Danio rerio: one gene and its partners. The protein of the gene in region 1 binds, or shares a complex with, the protein of each later gene. Links are inferred from orthologs where the notes say so. Each region holds a gene or a part of one and is shown in the gene's direction. Other genes may lie near its edges.

Region 1 (3,949 bases):
TCCTGCATAGTTTAGCTCCAACTTTCCTTAACCCACCTGCCTGGAAGTTTCTAGTATACCTAGAAAGAGCTTGATTAGCTAGTTCAGGTGTGTTTAATTGGGGTTACACCTAAAAAATGGAGGAAACCGTCCCTCAAGGACCGGGTTTGGGCACCCTTGATGTACAGTATTTAATTCAAATAACTTCTTCAAATATACCCACCCAGAGACCTGAAAATGATAGTGACACTAAATGGTGACACCCTTTTTGAACACTTCTCCATTAGTTATCTGTATAAAACATACTGTATACAGTCCTGTCTGTGGGGGCAGCATGAATACTGATAAACATGTTACAGTCCTAAAACCAAAATGTGACCTAATGACTTAAAGTTTCAATTTTATATTTTATATAATGAGCAAATAAAATAGTCTAATTTATTATTTTGCTGATTTGTACATTATGATTTGTACTTCATAAATATTGACTTGTGCATAATACTAAACGCCTCTAAACGTATTTTATGTTGTTTTTTATACATCTTTTCTCAATTATTTAAAATGAAAACACAATTTATTAATCGTAACTTGGCTAACAAGCCAACAAATACACTTAAAGAGCTAAGAAAGAGTTTACCTTTTCCTTTTCATTTCCTAAATACAGTTAAATGGATACCAGTGCACTATTTTGCACCACAAACCTGTAATAAATTGATATGGTGTCTGTATCTAAGCTTAGGTTCAAATGTTTAGTACTTTTACAGTACTGAGATCTAAATAAATAAACAGGATGACTACCGTGCAAAGGGGAAGCGGTCTAATTGAAAATATAACCCGAGAAAGTGATATGAAAGCGGTAATTAGACATTTATACACTGGTAACAGATGTTCTTATTGTATTGGGTGGTATTAATAAACATATATTAGACATTTAATACACATGAACCATTTTTTATTCTCTTTATTTACATATATACCTACGCACGCTCCACCCTCAGACGCAGTGGGTGGAATCCAGTATAATCAACCAATGAGAACATGTCAACACAGCTTTTGTAGCGCTCCGTCTAATCAGAATTTAGCGCGGGCGTGTCTTTTGTAATACGTTTTTTCGACGTCACGAGCATCATCGTCCAATCGGGTTTCCCGTGGCGTCGACACCGCCAAGCTCAGTTTTACAGACCTAGAGAGGGAGCAGGTTCTACTGTGCGCTCCTATTCATTCTACGCTAGACAGTTGAAGGCGGATGCAACCGACCGTAAGTGAGACCAGGGGGGGCTCCGAGTCCACACAGACAGCTTTGAGCGATGTTTTCCGTTTTTATATATCACCAGTGCATAAAGAAGCTGTCTTTTATCTGCGCTTGTAATAATTTAACACAAAATAAGTGCGTTTGACAGCAAACTCGTTCTAAAACAACAGCGTGCGACTGTATGCAGTTGTACATCTGCTATCTGAGGCCGTTAGTCTGTTAACCATCAGTCCTGATTCATTATCATATAGGTGAAATATTAAAACTGTCTGTCTCAGATGGCTTGTGTTAGCCAACATGCTAAGCCATGTCAAGTGTTTCTGTCAGTGTAGTGCAATAGAAAATCGTCCCTGATCTTTACCGATCGTACAAAAAAGCATTGGCAGGCAAAACTGGACGTGTAATAAACAATAGTAAGGGGATCGTAGATTGATTATGATAAAGCTGTCGAGATGACCTCGATTTGAGTGGAAGTTAGCTTGACGTTACTAGCTCGCCTGGTCGCTAGCTTAACAGTTTTATTTTAATTCGCTTTAAAGCGTGTTTTAAAGACTTTTGAAACTAAAGAAACAGTTGTTATTGTTACTATCGCATAAGCACGAGGATTTTGTTCAATTAATAAGTAGTTTTTGACGACAGAAGGACCTGTCACCTCAGCTAGCATCACTGCATGTTGGCTTTGCTTTAGCAACCATGTAAAATGGCTGCCAGGCATTAAACCAAAACCATCCTGTTTGTTCAATTAGTTCATGAATGTTTGCAAATAATTATGTCCCATTATGAACGGCTATTTTCCGTTTTTAGAGTATAATCGGTTGTTTAACTTGTGTTGCTGTTGAAGCCAACGAATTCTGTGACCCTCCAGCTGAATAGGTGTTGTGACTGTCAACTGTGTTGCTTAATAATGTGGCCGTTTATATACATATATTTGCTTAAGATTATTCTTTATTAAACTCTATATAATATATATTGATAATTTTAGTTCTTTTATTTGGAATTATTTATAGGGATTTACAGTTTGCATGCGTCTTGTATGTGCATGCTTAAAACATCCGCATCCATTTTGAGGTTTATGAATGTGCCATGATCTAACAATCAAACATCTCCCAAGTGCAAGCTCGTTTCAAAAGCACGCTCATTCACCGCACATGGGTTTTTATTTTTCATATTATTTGATTTATTTTTGTTTCCTGTTTGAGAGATGGGCTTCAGACCTCCTCTTCCTCTGTCCTCTTGCTAACTGGCTATGCCAACAAAAACAGCACCTAAGAAGGCAAAGGGCTTCAGGACTGTAAGTTCAGAGGAAAGTTTACAGACTTCATTTCCAGATGGCCATTTAAGTCCGATTCGTTTGCAAAACGGTACGAGCACATGCACAATACCCGATCTGCTCGCATTTAAACACGAGAAGCACGTTTTGATCACAATTAGGACCAGGGTTCGTTGCAAAACGTGTTTGAAAGGCTGCTAGCTAACTGGGCTAACACGCTTTATAATAGTGCACACTGCTTCGATTGTGCATTATGTTTGGAGCGGAAAAAGTAAACGAATGAAGCAGATTATCGTTCTGCTTGATGCGTTTACACGCTTTTTTATTACTTGAGACACTTGATATTTTTGTATTTAAGGGCCCTTTCCTTTTGCAAGAAAAGTTACTCAAAACGACAGGAACTGTTGCATATGGATGTTTTTCAGGATATTGCACGAGGGGTTTGGGTGTAGGAGTTCGAGATTTGATGTTAAAGAGATGATACGATTCGTCGAGGTCTTTGTCTGGTAATAAAAGCTGCATGAGAGCTGGCGGGCCTCGTTTTCATCAACCATGACAGTGTTTCCAAACCTTGTGAGCGTCCTACCTAGACAGCATTTTAAAAATTGCGACTTCTTTAGCAAACACCGAATCGAACTAACTTTGAATTCACACAGTGCTTGAAAGTGTTTGGGTCTCATCTCAATACACTTGTGATGTTTTAATCCACATGTAAATAATATCATCAAGTAAAACATCTTGGCTAAACACTGCATTGAGATGTTAATATATAAACATTCGTGTAAACTTGTATTGTTTAGGCTTGTGCTAAAGATGTAAGGGTGTGTTCATTGACACTTGGTGGGTTTGGTTTGATTAGAATTATCTCTGGTGCAGTTGCTCTGTTGGATCATTTGAATAAGTGTGAACGCTGCCATGGTTGTGGACCAAACAAGCAGACCATCACTGCTGGAAAAATAGGTTTTGGCATGATTGCGATGCAACACAATATACTTCCTTGCAAACTAAAACATGTCACAATATGTGACCACAAAAAAGACAGTGCACTATCATACATATATTTTTAGAAGAAATACTGCTTCTTATGGTTGAGTACAGGTTTTGAAAAGGAGTCTTCTTGCAATCAAAGTTCTTAATGTCACAGTTTTGACTCCTTTAGCCTTCATGTTTTATAGGCTTTCCACTATAAGTGTGTTTAGCCCAGCACACAGCAATGTTTTGGATGTTCTCTTACAAAATATGTAATTTTTGTATTAAATGTTTATTTCTCTAACACTTTTACATTGTAGATTGTGTCAAAGCAGCTTAACATAGAAATTCTAGTAAATTGAAACCGTGTTAGTCTGGATTTCACATTTGAAGTTCAGTTCAGGGTGGTTTAAATTTTACTACTGAAAGTCCAAACACTGAAGAGCAAATCCATCAATGCACAGCTCCACAAGTCCCAA
Region 2 (4,270 bases), on another chromosome or scaffold:
TTCATGGTGAATTTGAGAAGTCACAAGTGTACATTACACAATTTTCTTACATATTCATACTTCACTTTACATCAGATGCTATAGTATTCGCTAAGGACAGTTTTTTTGATGGCATGTTTGCCCTAGACTAACCAAAACATGCTGTAATGTACTCTATTAAATAATTTATTTGGATCTTAAATGAAAATTAATTTTAATTTCATGCATTTTTCCACTCAAAGCAGTAATCCCCCATGGTCTTCTCCCAATGTATAGGCAAAGAGTGCAAATAAAATAAAATTAAGAAAAATAAAAAAAGTGGACATCATAAGTGCATTCGCAGAGCCCAGAGTTTCCACTTTATGCAAGAACAAATATTTAATTATCCATTTAGTAACATTTTACGATTATCAAGCAAATAATCAGATTATCAGATTTATCCCAAATCTCAGCACAATTCAAACCTTTCAAGCATTTTAAGCAATACCTGCACCAGTAAGAGCTCTGTTAAATGTGTTTGCAGCTTATTATAGCAAATATTATTACTAAAACTTCAACATTATTTATATAAGTGTGTGTTTTACCAGGTCTGTCCCGTCCTGCGTCCATTAGGAAAGTGTGGAGGTAATTAGACTCAGCTTGTATTTATGGCTGAGCATGATTAGCTCATTAGCTCTTCAGGCTTTTGGGAAAAGGGGATCTTTTCAGTGGATAAATACTCTAAACACGTCTATAATCACAATGCTTGATCATATCTATATTTCAATGCAGATGAAAAACCAAATAATAAGATTTGGGTTTAGTAATTAATTACTAGCTCTGAGTTTTATCGCCATTTTGTAAAACAAAAATCGCTATCTGAATGAATCTTCCGGTACATATTCATAATTTTACCAACACTCATTTTATACTTTAATGTCATACTTTAAACGTTTAATGTTTAATTATGACATGTCAAATCGTGTTTTTACGACTTTTAGTTGTTAAGTTTTTTAAACGGAATGTCAGAAATACGAGTAAAGGACTATTGAATGGGCAGTTCACGCAAAATCATCGTTTATCTCCCTTAAACTGGATCCAAGTTTCTTCTGTCGAACACAAAAGCAGAAAACCTGTAACCAATGACTCATATAGTATTTGTTTATCCTATATGGAAGTCATAATATCTTCTTTTGTGTTCAACAGAACTAATAAAAGGTTATAAACCATCTGAGGTTGAGTACATTTTCATTTTGGGGTGAACTAGCCTAACGTTACATCCTCAAGGCTAACTTCTATATTAGCCTCACATTAGGCTCACAATACTCGTTATATTGTTAACTTTGGGGCTAACATATAATTTAGTCTTAAGGATGTAGGCTACTAAAGGGATAAATCTATAATACATAAAAATACATTTACGTGTGTATACTTTGACCAAATGCGCGTCCGTGTGTGTTTCGCGCGCGCACGCATTTGTGCGTGACGTTCAGCCTGTGTTGGCTTTACGTCACTCGCGGGAATGGACGAGAAAAAGAAGCGCGAGATAGGAACTTGGGCGCGCAGCAGTGGATGTTTAGCTGCGAGCTCCTGTGCGCTTTTCAATGAAACTCTTTACTTAATTTGATCGACTGTCTAATTAGCATCACACATGAGTTTATGCGTGTGTTCTAGACTCAGAGTGTCCTCATAAAGGTCTGTATTATTGGCGTATTTTGATCAAACATCAGGGAAATGTCTTGGTGGGCGCGCGGGTAAGTACACTAAGTTTATTATTCGTACATGTTTATTGTTCATCTGTAATGGAGATTCACTTTAGGGCTAAAAATGAGACTTAGAAATGTATTCTGCCTGTGCATGTGGTGATTGTTGACAATAAGTTTGTGAATGATCCATTGAACCCCGCCTAATAGCACAAAGAGAGCTGATAAACGCGGAACTACTATAATATTAGCATAATAAAGATTTGCACAAAGTCAGATTTACAATGTTAGTCAGCATCACACACTGTTATAAGTTGTACATTTAGCTTTAAGACCGAGAAAAGTGCTTTATACTTTGATGACAAGCGTTGTTAATGTTAGCTGAGCTGCTAATAGCTCGAGATATTAGCTCTGAATGTGTATTGTATTTTAATGTAATTATTGAGCACATTTAGGGGGGTTAAAGTATTATTTTCTGAACTTTTCTGCAGTAAAAGTGTTGTTTTTTTCCCTTTGGTGTTAATAGACATTGCTTAGCAAACACAAGGCCCTGATAAATGGTGTCAGACAGTGTTTGCTGATCTGCGGTCAGTGTTGTTTAACGTGTATGTGTATGTGTGTGTGTTACAGTGAGGATGAGGAGGAGGCCTTATGCCAGGACACAGACTCTGATGTAGCTGACCAGAGAGATTGTGGGAAGGTGAAAGTCAAGTGGACACAAGAGGAGGTAAACACAATTCTCTAATTGCAGAATCTAAACAATATTGGGGTGAAGTTATTTTTGAGGTTTCATATTCACACATTCGTATAGAGGTAAAGTTGGTTTAATATTCGGATTTTCTGACGTTCTCCTTAATAATATCATTTCAGAAAAGTGTTCTTTGCAAATTATAAATAGGAAAATCATATTAGCAGCCAATGCTTATCATAGTTTACAGTCAGTTAAATAGTGCTAATGTTGTTTTGAACTCATACTTGCATGCTAATTCTGATAGAATATTTAAAAAAAAGCGTAGTAAACAATATAGAGACAGTTAAATTAACGAATGTGCGATTTATAAAACCAACTTTACCTCAATTACTTTCCTTTAGTGATAGCTTGTGACATGCTTCCGATAAGTTCCCATGGTACTTTGAATATTCAGCCTGAAATCAGATGTAAATGTGACTTCAAAATAACATTAGCACTATTTATTTGACTTTTAATAATGTTGTACTTTGATAGTCACTCGCTGCTTATAAGATTTGTATCATTTAGAATTAGCAAAGAACACTTTTCTGAAATTATATTAATAAGGAGAAAGTCAGAATTTGTGAATATAAAGCCAACTTTACCTCAGCAGCAAATGACTATCAAAGTACAACATTGTTTACAGTCAAATAAATAGTGCTAATGTTGTTTTAAACTCATGTTTACATCTGATTTCAGACTGAATATCCAAAGTACCATGATAAACCACATAGGGAGCATGTCATAAGTTGTCACTGAAAAAATGAGCAACTATATATAAAGCCAACTTTACCTCACTTAAAACAGTCACTTAATAGTATCTTTAATGTTTTTCACATCAATAAATAGTGTGTTTTTGTTGTTGTTTTTTTCTTAAATTGTGACTTATTGTTACAGTCTTAAAGATGGTCAGTCAAGGGGAAGGAGAGTAACATTAATTTTGGGTGAAACATGAGCAAACACAATATTTACAAGTGAGGGACAAAATGCCAAGACTAACTAAATGCAATAAAGTGAGTTTATTTACAAATATAGTGATAATAATAAATGCAAAATTATGGATATTTAAACAATAATAAATATTTACAAAAATATATTCACAATTGCAGTCAACAAATGTTTGAACCGATAGATGAGAGAATTGGAGAGATGAGACGTGGGTGGCGTCCAAACAGTAGAAATAAATAAAACAAAACAATACTTTCTACTGGCCCAACCAACTATCCCCCCCAAAAAATATATCAGTTATTGAAAAGAAAATCCTTTACGCAGAGTATACACATCATGTCACATCATGTTCATGTCTGGATAGACACTCGTACACTTCGGCCAATGTAGTTCATCAATTCCTCTATAGCACATGTGTTTGGACTGTAGGGGAAACCGGAGCACCTGGAGGAAACCCACACTAACATGGGGAGAACATGCAAACTCCACACAGAACCGCCTACTGACCCAGCCGGGACTCATACTTTTATTAATTAGACTAAATGATTGTATGAGACTCTTTTCAGTGTTGATGTTTTTTGTACAATGAATGTTTATGAAGAAACTGATATGATTGCTTGTTATATATTGTATTTTTAGTTTAGGTTTTGTCATGAATGCTGCTGATATGGCATTAAAACATAAATAAATATTGCATATCTCTAATTTCATGTTCATTGGCATATCCCAGGATGATAAGCTGCGTAAACTGGTGCTGAATGTTGGATCAAATGACTGGAAATACATCGCTGGATTTTTACCTGTAAGTGTGTTTATCATGCATTCAGAAAACGCACATCAGATGTTATTTATGCTTTGATCTATTGAACATTTGAGTGTCTGATTAAAGTTGAAATGCTGTAAGAGTGTGTTTGTTGTTGAAGAATCGATC
Region 3 (3,946 bases), on another chromosome or scaffold:
AACTGAGACTGTGCATCTGAGTGTTTAGCCTTTTGTGTTTAGCTGTCTTATTGGCTTTTTACTCCCATTTTCTTTAACAGAAAACTGGCGTAGCTGTGAAACTTCTGTCTTTTAATGAAAAAATACAAAACATCAGTAAGTTATTTTTGTTGAACTGTACATTGAGTGTACGGTATCATATAATGCACTTTTTTTACATTTTTTTAATTAAATTATAAATCATTTGTTGTTCATTGTACAGTGTGTTCTTTTTAATTCATTAGTTAATTCTTTTATTTAATTAAATTTTTTTCAAATGTACACTTCTCAAAGCACTGAAGTGGGTCAAATCTCTACCAGGGGTTTGCAAACTGGGCACAAAGTGGTCTGTGAAAATTTGGAGAAAATAAAATTGTAAATAAATTAAAATATTTAACGCAATTCATTAAAAAACAAATATATAATAACATTGAAATAAATAATAATGAATAATCAAAAATTTAGTATTTGAAATATTTTATGAAAAATATATAAATGCACATTGGCAGTAGAATAAGCTAATTTTGGAATGCCAATAGTTTGATTAAATTAAACATACATATTAGATTAAAATAAATAATAGATTATATTACTGCAAAGTAGTTTAATTTTTACAAAGAAAAATTAAGATTTCAATGAATAAATAGGATTAAAATATATTTTATTGTTAGAATTTTTATGATTAATACATAAACATGCATTCACATAAAATAAACAACAAAAAACTGGATTTAACTAGTCTTATTATAAAAATAAATACACATTTAATTAAATAAGACTCAGATAATCCTAAATCCTATTAAAATAAAATTATATAGTACTTCAAGAAACATACAAATGAAGAAAAATTAACTCAAAGTTGTATTAAAATGAGTGAAATAAAAAAATGGAAAGAAATAATATCCGCAGGAAAAAAATGTAATAATGTGACTTCAAGAAATTGCAGGTAATATTTTTGATCAATTTATAACGTTATTAGAAAACATCTTAATTGAATGAACGTTAGCGGTATATTTAGGACTTGTGGATCTTATTTGGGTTTTCGTGTCTGATAAAAAAAAACTGCTCTGGCCAAACGCTCAAGCGAATACGTTGTCATAGTAACTGTAATCCAACGTCATTTCCTTTGATTTAAAAAGCCTCGAGCCATCAGCAGTAGAAGTGTAGCCTGAGGTAAAGAAGTGTTGGAGATGAATTCTGCTCCCCCTCACCGCCGCCATCCAAACTGAGGTCCACCTCCACACGGGACAAAGGCCATTTTTTGTGTCACCTCAGTAAACACCGGGCGTTTGGATGTTATGGCCGAGTCGAACAGCGCAAGTTTCCCTCACTCGACACCGAACGGGTCCAGTCGCCACGAGAAGAGTTTGGGTCTCCTCACAGTCAAGTTCGTCACCCTGCTCCAGGAGGCCAAAGATGGGGTGCTCGACCTCAAAGTGGTGGGTTAAAACACATTTACGAGCCGAATGAATGAGTGACGAGAATGAATGAAAGTCGACAGGCTGCGGAGTTCAGTCAGGACGTACACAAAGAAACTCTCTCACCTGAGTGAACTTTCGCCGTAAACTGAGGCGTTTAGTAATAGAGTTATGCAGAAACATTAAAGCTCTGGTTCGAGGTTGATTAAAAGTGTTAAATGAAAGATCGAAATGTCGTGTCTTGTGTCAGGGGGGTTTGTACAGAAACCCATTTTTCTCTCACAGCAGGTGTTTGTTACCTGACGCTTGAGGCAGCAGAGGCGCAACATGTAAAAACATTGGAGAAAATTTTACTCAGCCTAAAACACCTGTTACTTTCCTCTAAAATGTACTAAATAAAGCACCTAAACGATATACAAATTTAATTTTGCAAATCTGTTTATATGTACAAATGAGATGTGCTTAACAGTGTGCGAATTATACATTGACATCTGGGGCGTCTGCTGTTAAGGTTAGTTTGTGCCATACATACTTCAGTCATTTATGTATTACATCTAGTTTGTTAATCAAACGTATTTAAGTTTTCAGCGTTTTGAGAGATATATTTTGTGTTTTCTGACCTATAGTATTCCCTGATTGGCTATTTCAAATGTCACTGTAGGTTAAACTACAAACTATGCATCTAATTTGATTTTATTTTCAGGCTAAATATAGACACAAACACCTATTTTACGACAAAACAAAGTCTTATGAACATGATGTCTGTTGGTGCTCCAGATCTGCCACTTTTTCCAAATAGTCTGATTGGTGCAATTATGCATTAACAATGGTTTGAATCATTATAGGGGTGGTTTATATTAAATATTATATTTATTACTAACATTAGTATTTAAAAAGCAAATCAGAGTGGAATATTTCTCAATATTAAAAAACTATTAAACTATTAATATTAAAAACTAATTAGGGGGGTCAATCCCCCCAAAGCCCCTTAAAATTTGCACCAGCAGGTTTGGGATCTGTTGTTTTGGTGTAGTTATTCATAGTCTTGTGATTTTCGTACATCAAAAATAAAAAAAAATCAAATTTTAATACATTCACTTTAGTTGCTGTGCTTTCATAATGAAAAATTACAATTTAGAAAAACTGCAAAGATAAATGTTTTTCATGCAGAAATGAGGTACAAGTGAAACTTTTTTGTGTGTTGTTTGCATGAGAAAATACATTTATTATCATTTGGTCATTTGATACAATTAGTTAACTTTAGTTTACAATTAGTTTTTTCTTATTAAATTGTTATTTTTATTTTTAAACAGTTATTTCACTTATTCATGATATCGGTTTGGATATGAGGTGGTATATATCAACACAAGCTATTTTGGGTCCCGCAAATAACCAATTCCTGTTTTCTAACTGCATGATTGCTTATAATGACATTGTGATTTATTTCCATAGGCTGCTGACAGTTTGGCTGTCAAACAAAAGAGGAGAATCTATGACATTACCAATGTCCTGGAAGGCATTGGACTCATTGAAAAAAAGACCAAAAACACCATTCAGTGGAAGTGAGTTCAAAGATTAAGATGTGCCACAAAGTGCTGATGGTACTGACGTATTGTATTTATGTATACAATATTTCTTTATGTAATTATGTGCATTTTTTTTAAATGTGTGCTAAATTTGCACCATGCATGCTCCTTTGCATCCATCTCCAAAGCAGTTGCTTTATCTTGTTTAGGGGGGAGAGTACAGGCTGCCAGCCTCAGGAGGTTCTTGAGCAGGTGGAACTTCTCAAGGCGAATATCGCTGATCTGGAGCTTCAGGAAAGAGAGCTGGACATGCAGAAAGCATGTCTGCAACAAAGCATCAAACAACTGAATGAAGACCCCTACAGCTGCAGATATCCTTACTGTCAGTAGGCGTTTCCATTAACCTTCAAATTATGCAAATTGCAAAACGCATCCAATGGAAATGTGTCCATTAAAAAAAACTCCTATATTGCAAAAAAGCTTTTGCGCTCACAGAAGGTGGTTTTTACGACAAGTCATAAAATGAATCTTTCATAAAACTAAAATGTAAACTTTTTTTTTTTTTTTTTTTTTTTTTTTTAAATACAGGTAACATGGAGTATGTAAAATGATTAATATTTATGGTTTGGTTGGCATATGATAGGATATGACATATGTGTTAATCCAGAAGTTGTTTAAATGTACTTTAATTAATTTTATTATGCAGAGGTTAGCAATGCAATAAAGGCATTTTGGGCATGAGAGGCTGTGGCACATTCACATCTACACCAGTTATCATACTGTTCATTTAGATTGCACAACTGTAACAGTAGGATATCATTCTAAACTGAAAAATGTCTATCAATCCAAGCAAAGTGCCTCTGAAAATAAACGCACTTTATATACGTAGACACACAAACACACATGCTTGTGCTCAATTCAAATTCAGTTATTCAAAAGTCAATTTTATTTAATTTTTTTACTTGTACAAACTATGTTAGTTCA
Region 4 (4,285 bases), on another chromosome or scaffold:
AATGCAAATTGTAAACAGACTGACTCAGGTGCATTTATTTGGATTTAGGTTGTGTTGCATTTGATACCAACACATTTTCTGGCTCAATTGACTGAAAATATATATGTTTTTCATTAATCACCAACATTGTAAGAGCTCTGTATTTATACTTGAATTTTACTTATTTAATTTTACTAATTATTTTATTTTTCCAAGTATAATAAAGTGACCTTCTGTCTTTTAGAGACATGATCTGTACAGAGGTGTTGATAGTTATTTCTTCAACCAGTTTTACAATACCATCCCTTTTTTAATGTCTTTTAAATGGGCCTTTTCGTATAATGCTATGTACAAAGCATTTGAAAATGGGTTGATCAAAGTAATAATGCTACAGTGAATGAATGATGTTTCTTTAGTGTTTTAAAATAAATAAAATGAACACTCTGTTAAAAATATTGATATGATACGTTAAAATGTGCTGAAACTAGACTTGTTTATGTTTACCAATAATTTTTATTTTTGGTCTATTTATAATTACTGCCTTTTTTGTAGCTGTACAGAAGTTTGTTCTGCTGTGTTTTTTGGCCTGACTGAGTCTTGAGTCTTATATTATATTAACACTATCATAATACTACTCAAGTACTCTGTATGAAAGCTAAACATATTAATGTTCGCATATTATTCATATATATTTTTACTTATTTTGCAAGAAAGAACGTTATCAAAGACACAGTTTAAACAAATAGACAGAAATGAATTCATAATTAAAATTCCAGCAAATTAAACAAGTTTAAATGATTTACACCAAGAAAGTGTTTTACATGCAATATAACTGTTAGGGTCTTTTAAAGAGTTCACATATAAAGTAATTTCTTAAAATAAAAAAGTAGGGTGTTTCTTTGAAAATTTACATTTATCGATGTAAATTTTAGGGGGGGGGAAACAATTAATTACAAATTTACAAGAATTCAGAAAGTATCTAAAGAATATAATTTTTTGTGGGAAATACAAAAGTTTGGAAATAATACAATTTTTGTGAAATTGGAAAAGTCAACCCAAATGACTTTACAATAAGTGCACTCCCAAAATAGGCCAAAAAGATTTAGTGTTTCACCATATTGAGTACAAAATGAGCATTTGAAGGAAATATTGTTATTAAATTTACCTAGTTTGTTGTTTATTGGGTAGCAATTATGAATGATTCTGATTGAGACTTCAACAGCTTTATTAGATAAAAATATGTATTTTTTCCGAATACCATCCAAGATCAATATCAAGAAAAGGCCATTAAAGACCATTAAAGAGATCAGAGAACTGTTAACAATAAAGAGAATCACTTTGTTTGACATAGAACTGAGAAGAGTTTGGTCAACAAAAAGGTTTGTGCTGTCAATAATATTTATATTCATATTTTTCAGTCAATTATTGCGACATCATTTTACAACATAAGAGGGTGTGGCTATTTTATCCAAGACCTCCAGTGATTGGCTGCTTAGAATCACGTGTGTTGTTGTCAAGATGGCGTCTCCGAATGGAGGTAAATTTTAATTCCTCTTTTCCCTGGCAGCGTTAGTTGTTAACGCAATAGTGCAACGGACTAATTAAGTCATATAAATCATTATGCGGTTTAGCATATTTTTTATAAAGAACTGATGGATTCTGAATCAAAATAAGCTTTTCAGTCGGAATAGCGTCATAAAATTGTTTGGAGCCAGTCATTAGCAAAGCTACGTGTCAGACGACATCAGTTGTGTAGTAATAATTTAATACGAATGTAATAGTGTAGTAAATACGCGAAGACATATTACTTTTGGTGTGTCGTGATTTTATCTTTAACGTTAGTTATGTAACTCATTATTTTGTGACAAGATTACTCAATGCAGCTAGCTCAGCTTTGAGTAACTTAGCAGCTGAGTAAACATAATATCTCTGTCATAACATCAGCTTAATTTTACACCTTGAATAATATGTGACAGAAGATTTTTTTTTGTAACGTCATCTAAGCTGAGTTATGTTAAAATTGAAATTGTGTATATTTAACATTTTTTATTGTACTTCAGGTTTATTGATCCTGTTGCTGATGAGTTTTCTCTGACCATAGAGCATTTATCTTTTTAATGTGTAGGTGAGGACTTTGAATCTTCTCTGATAAGTTTAGAAAATCTTGACCGGGCTTCACCTGACCTGTGGCCAGAGCAGTGTAAGTTTGACTCTCTAATCTTATTCAGTTGGACTAATATTTATGACACATTAACATATTTTTCCAAATATATGTAAAAAAAAATGCACTGATTGAAATATAGAAATTACATTTGATTATTACACATTGTCATATTTTTGAACGCTTTGTTTTTAACAGTGCCGGGTGTGTCAGAATTTGCAGCATCCTTTAAAAATGTGAGTAAATATTCAAATGATAATGAATACTTTTCAAAGTTGATGTGAAATTAAGGCTTGGTTTTTGTTATTTCAGCCTATTACAAATTCTCCACCCAAATGGATGGCTGAACTGGAGTCAGAGGATATTGAAATGTTGAAAGGTCTGCCTTTTTTAAAGTAGTATTCATATCAAGTCTTTTAATGTATCATTTAGTCTTTTATCTATGCTTTCTATATATTGCTTAGTAGAATAGGTTAATAATAGTTAGATGAGTTGCTTGGTGAATTCCAGGGTGTCCGCGCGGTCTTAAAAAGTCGTAAAATGTCTTAAACCTCAAAATTACATTTTTATGTCTTAAATTTACTGAAATATTGTGTTGTAGTTCCTAAATGTTAAATTAAATTTTTTTTAAATTAGGTCTTAATTTTCCTTTGTTTATGTATCGCTACGCAGTCTGGCCATTAGTCCTATACGATCACCAACAATTCATCTCAATAAAACCTTTTATATAAAAAGGTGATTTTTAACTCTGTTTACCATAACAGTTTTATTATTTTCCTCAAAATACATAATATTTGTTAAAAAGTGTTCCATGTATTTGCTGCTGAGGACACCGACCTGGACAGATTGTTTTGCATAGATTTAGTTATATTAAAACTTTAAAAACATTAATTCATTTTTTATTGTAAAGAAAGTTTATGTTGGAAAAATAAAGTGTATGTATACAAGTAGAGCTTGTTTGTTTTTAAACAATATTTGAATATTTTTATAAAAAATATCTAAAATATTTATTTTTTTATTATTAAATTATAATTGTATTATTAATATATAATCGTTTTTTGATGGGGCAAATGAAAAATCTTTTCCATCTGGGCCATATGAAAAATTCCTTAGCGATTAGTCCTTTATGAGTCTAAAATTTCATTCATAAGGGTCTTGAAAATGTCTTGAAGTCTTAAATTTAACTTTGTGAAACCTGCAGAAACCCTGGAATTTATAAAAGCTACAGTATAATATTTTGTTTCGGTTCTGGTCCATTTTTATTTTATTTTTTGTAACTTGTTTGTTGTGGCTTTTTTTTTTTTAGAATTAGGAAGTTTGACCACAGCAAATTTGATGGAAAAGGTGAAGGGTCTGCAGAATCTGGCTTACCAGTTGGGCTTGGAGGAGTGTAAGTAATGTCTTACTCAACTCAGAAATAGTGCATTAGTTCACACTGTTTATCTAGTTACGGTATATTGTAAGTCATCCACTAGATGGCGATATTAGAAAAAGAATAAAACTTACTGACAAACACAAACCCAGCTTTTAATACATAAAGACATTTTTCATGTTTTTTGCCGCTGTGATATTTAGGATAGAGTTAAAAAGACAATACAACAAATAATTCATTATATGTAGTCTGGAGCCTAAATCCATCTGAATCCTTGTGTGGAAAAAACACTTATTTGTTATGTTCTATTCGTTTATTTCAGTCTGTAAGTCTCAAATGAATTCCCACTCTATATTTAAACAGAACTGGCTTGTTGCCCAGTGTCTCTGTAATATTATATCACAGAATTGCTAGATGTAGCATTAATCCACGCAGGCAGGATTACAGGAAAGATAAGTGTTTCAGTTATTTTCTAGATGAAAATGGGCATCGAAACATCGCACAATTTGAAAGCGAGTACTGCAGACCATTGGTGAACACTCGTTTCAGATGTATTACATTCCTTCTGCTGATTTGACCTTTGTGTGGCATGTCCCTCAGAAAGCCCTCAACAAACTATGCTTCAATGAGAAAAATCAGTCAAATGCTTTTCTGTCTACTTGATTTTTACTCTACTATTTTGAATAATTTCCATAATGTTACAGAGAGAGGATAAAAAAAGCATCAGTTAATTTAAATAATTCAAAGATATGCATTTATATTGATTTAAAATT

The links.
Region 2: tfdp1a (region 1) and mybl2b share a complex: the UniProt entries of both Homo sapiens proteins name them as parts of the DREAM complex. The link is inferred for Danio rerio from reciprocal best matches to the Homo sapiens genes TFDP1 and MYBL2.
Region 3: the proteins of tfdp1a (region 1) and e2f5 are in contact, whole or in part, in a crystal structure (PDB 5TUV), measured with the Homo sapiens proteins. The link is inferred for Danio rerio from reciprocal best matches to the Homo sapiens genes TFDP1 and E2F5. Residues at the interface, in NP_009042.1 of Homo sapiens: Glu201, Cys202, Leu205, Glu208, Arg209, Arg212, Leu213, Arg215, Ile216, Lys219, Gln220, Leu223, Leu226, Ile227, Gln230, Phe233, Leu236, Val237, Arg239, Asn240, Arg241, Arg249, Pro253, Ser255, Val256, Ile257, His258, Leu259, Pro260, Phe261; in NP_001942.2 of Homo sapiens: Val126, Arg129, Leu130, Lys134, Glu136, Ile137, Leu140, Glu141, Glu144, Leu147, Asp148, Gln150, Lys151, Leu154, Gln155, Ser157, Ile158, Val161, Met162, Ile166, Asn167, Asn168, Arg169, Phe170, Ser171, Tyr172, Val173, Thr174, His175, Asp177.
Region 4: tfdp1a (region 1) and lin52 share a complex: the UniProt entries of both Homo sapiens proteins name them as parts of the DREAM complex. The link is inferred for Danio rerio from reciprocal best matches to the Homo sapiens genes TFDP1 and LIN52.

Annotation. Positions count from the first base shown.
Region 1 is NC_133184.1:36,642,039-36,645,987, forward strand, and holds the start of tfdp1a (transcription factor Dp-1a), read left to right. Parts: upstream 1-1,149; 5' UTR 1,150-1,237; exon of another isoform or gene 1,238-2,592; intron 2,593-3,949. UniProt on the Homo sapiens protein: Can stimulate E2F-dependent transcription.
Region 2 is NC_133186.1:1,629,030-1,633,299, forward strand, and holds the start of mybl2b (v-myb avian myeloblastosis viral oncogene homolog-like 2b), read left to right. Parts: upstream 1-1,470; 5' UTR 1,471-1,692; coding exon 1,693-1,712; intron 1,713-2,291; coding exon 2,292-2,388; intron 2,389-4,069; coding exon 4,070-4,141; intron 4,142-4,262; coding exon 4,263-4,270. Other genes in the region: uncharacterized protein si:ch73-303b9.1, read right to left, coding at 564-588. UniProt on the Homo sapiens protein: Transcription factor involved in the regulation of cell survival, proliferation, and differentiation. Transactivates the expression of the CLU gene.
Region 3 is NC_133177.1:34,650,591-34,654,536, reverse strand, and holds the start of e2f5 (transcription factor E2F5), read left to right. Parts: upstream 1-1,146; 5' UTR 1,147-1,316; coding exon 1,317-1,457; intron 1,458-2,888; coding exon 2,889-2,998; intron 2,999-3,171; coding exon 3,172-3,333; coding exon of another isoform or gene 3,334-3,352; exon of another isoform or gene 3,353-3,946.
Region 4 is NC_133192.1:33,276,441-33,280,725, reverse strand, and holds the start of lin52 (protein lin-52 homolog), read left to right. Parts: upstream 1-1,485; 5' UTR 1,486-1,497; coding exon 1,498-1,516; intron 1,517-2,104; coding exon 2,105-2,179; intron 2,180-2,338; coding exon 2,339-2,376; intron 2,377-2,452; coding exon 2,453-2,519; intron 2,520-3,446; coding exon 3,447-3,530; intron 3,531-4,285.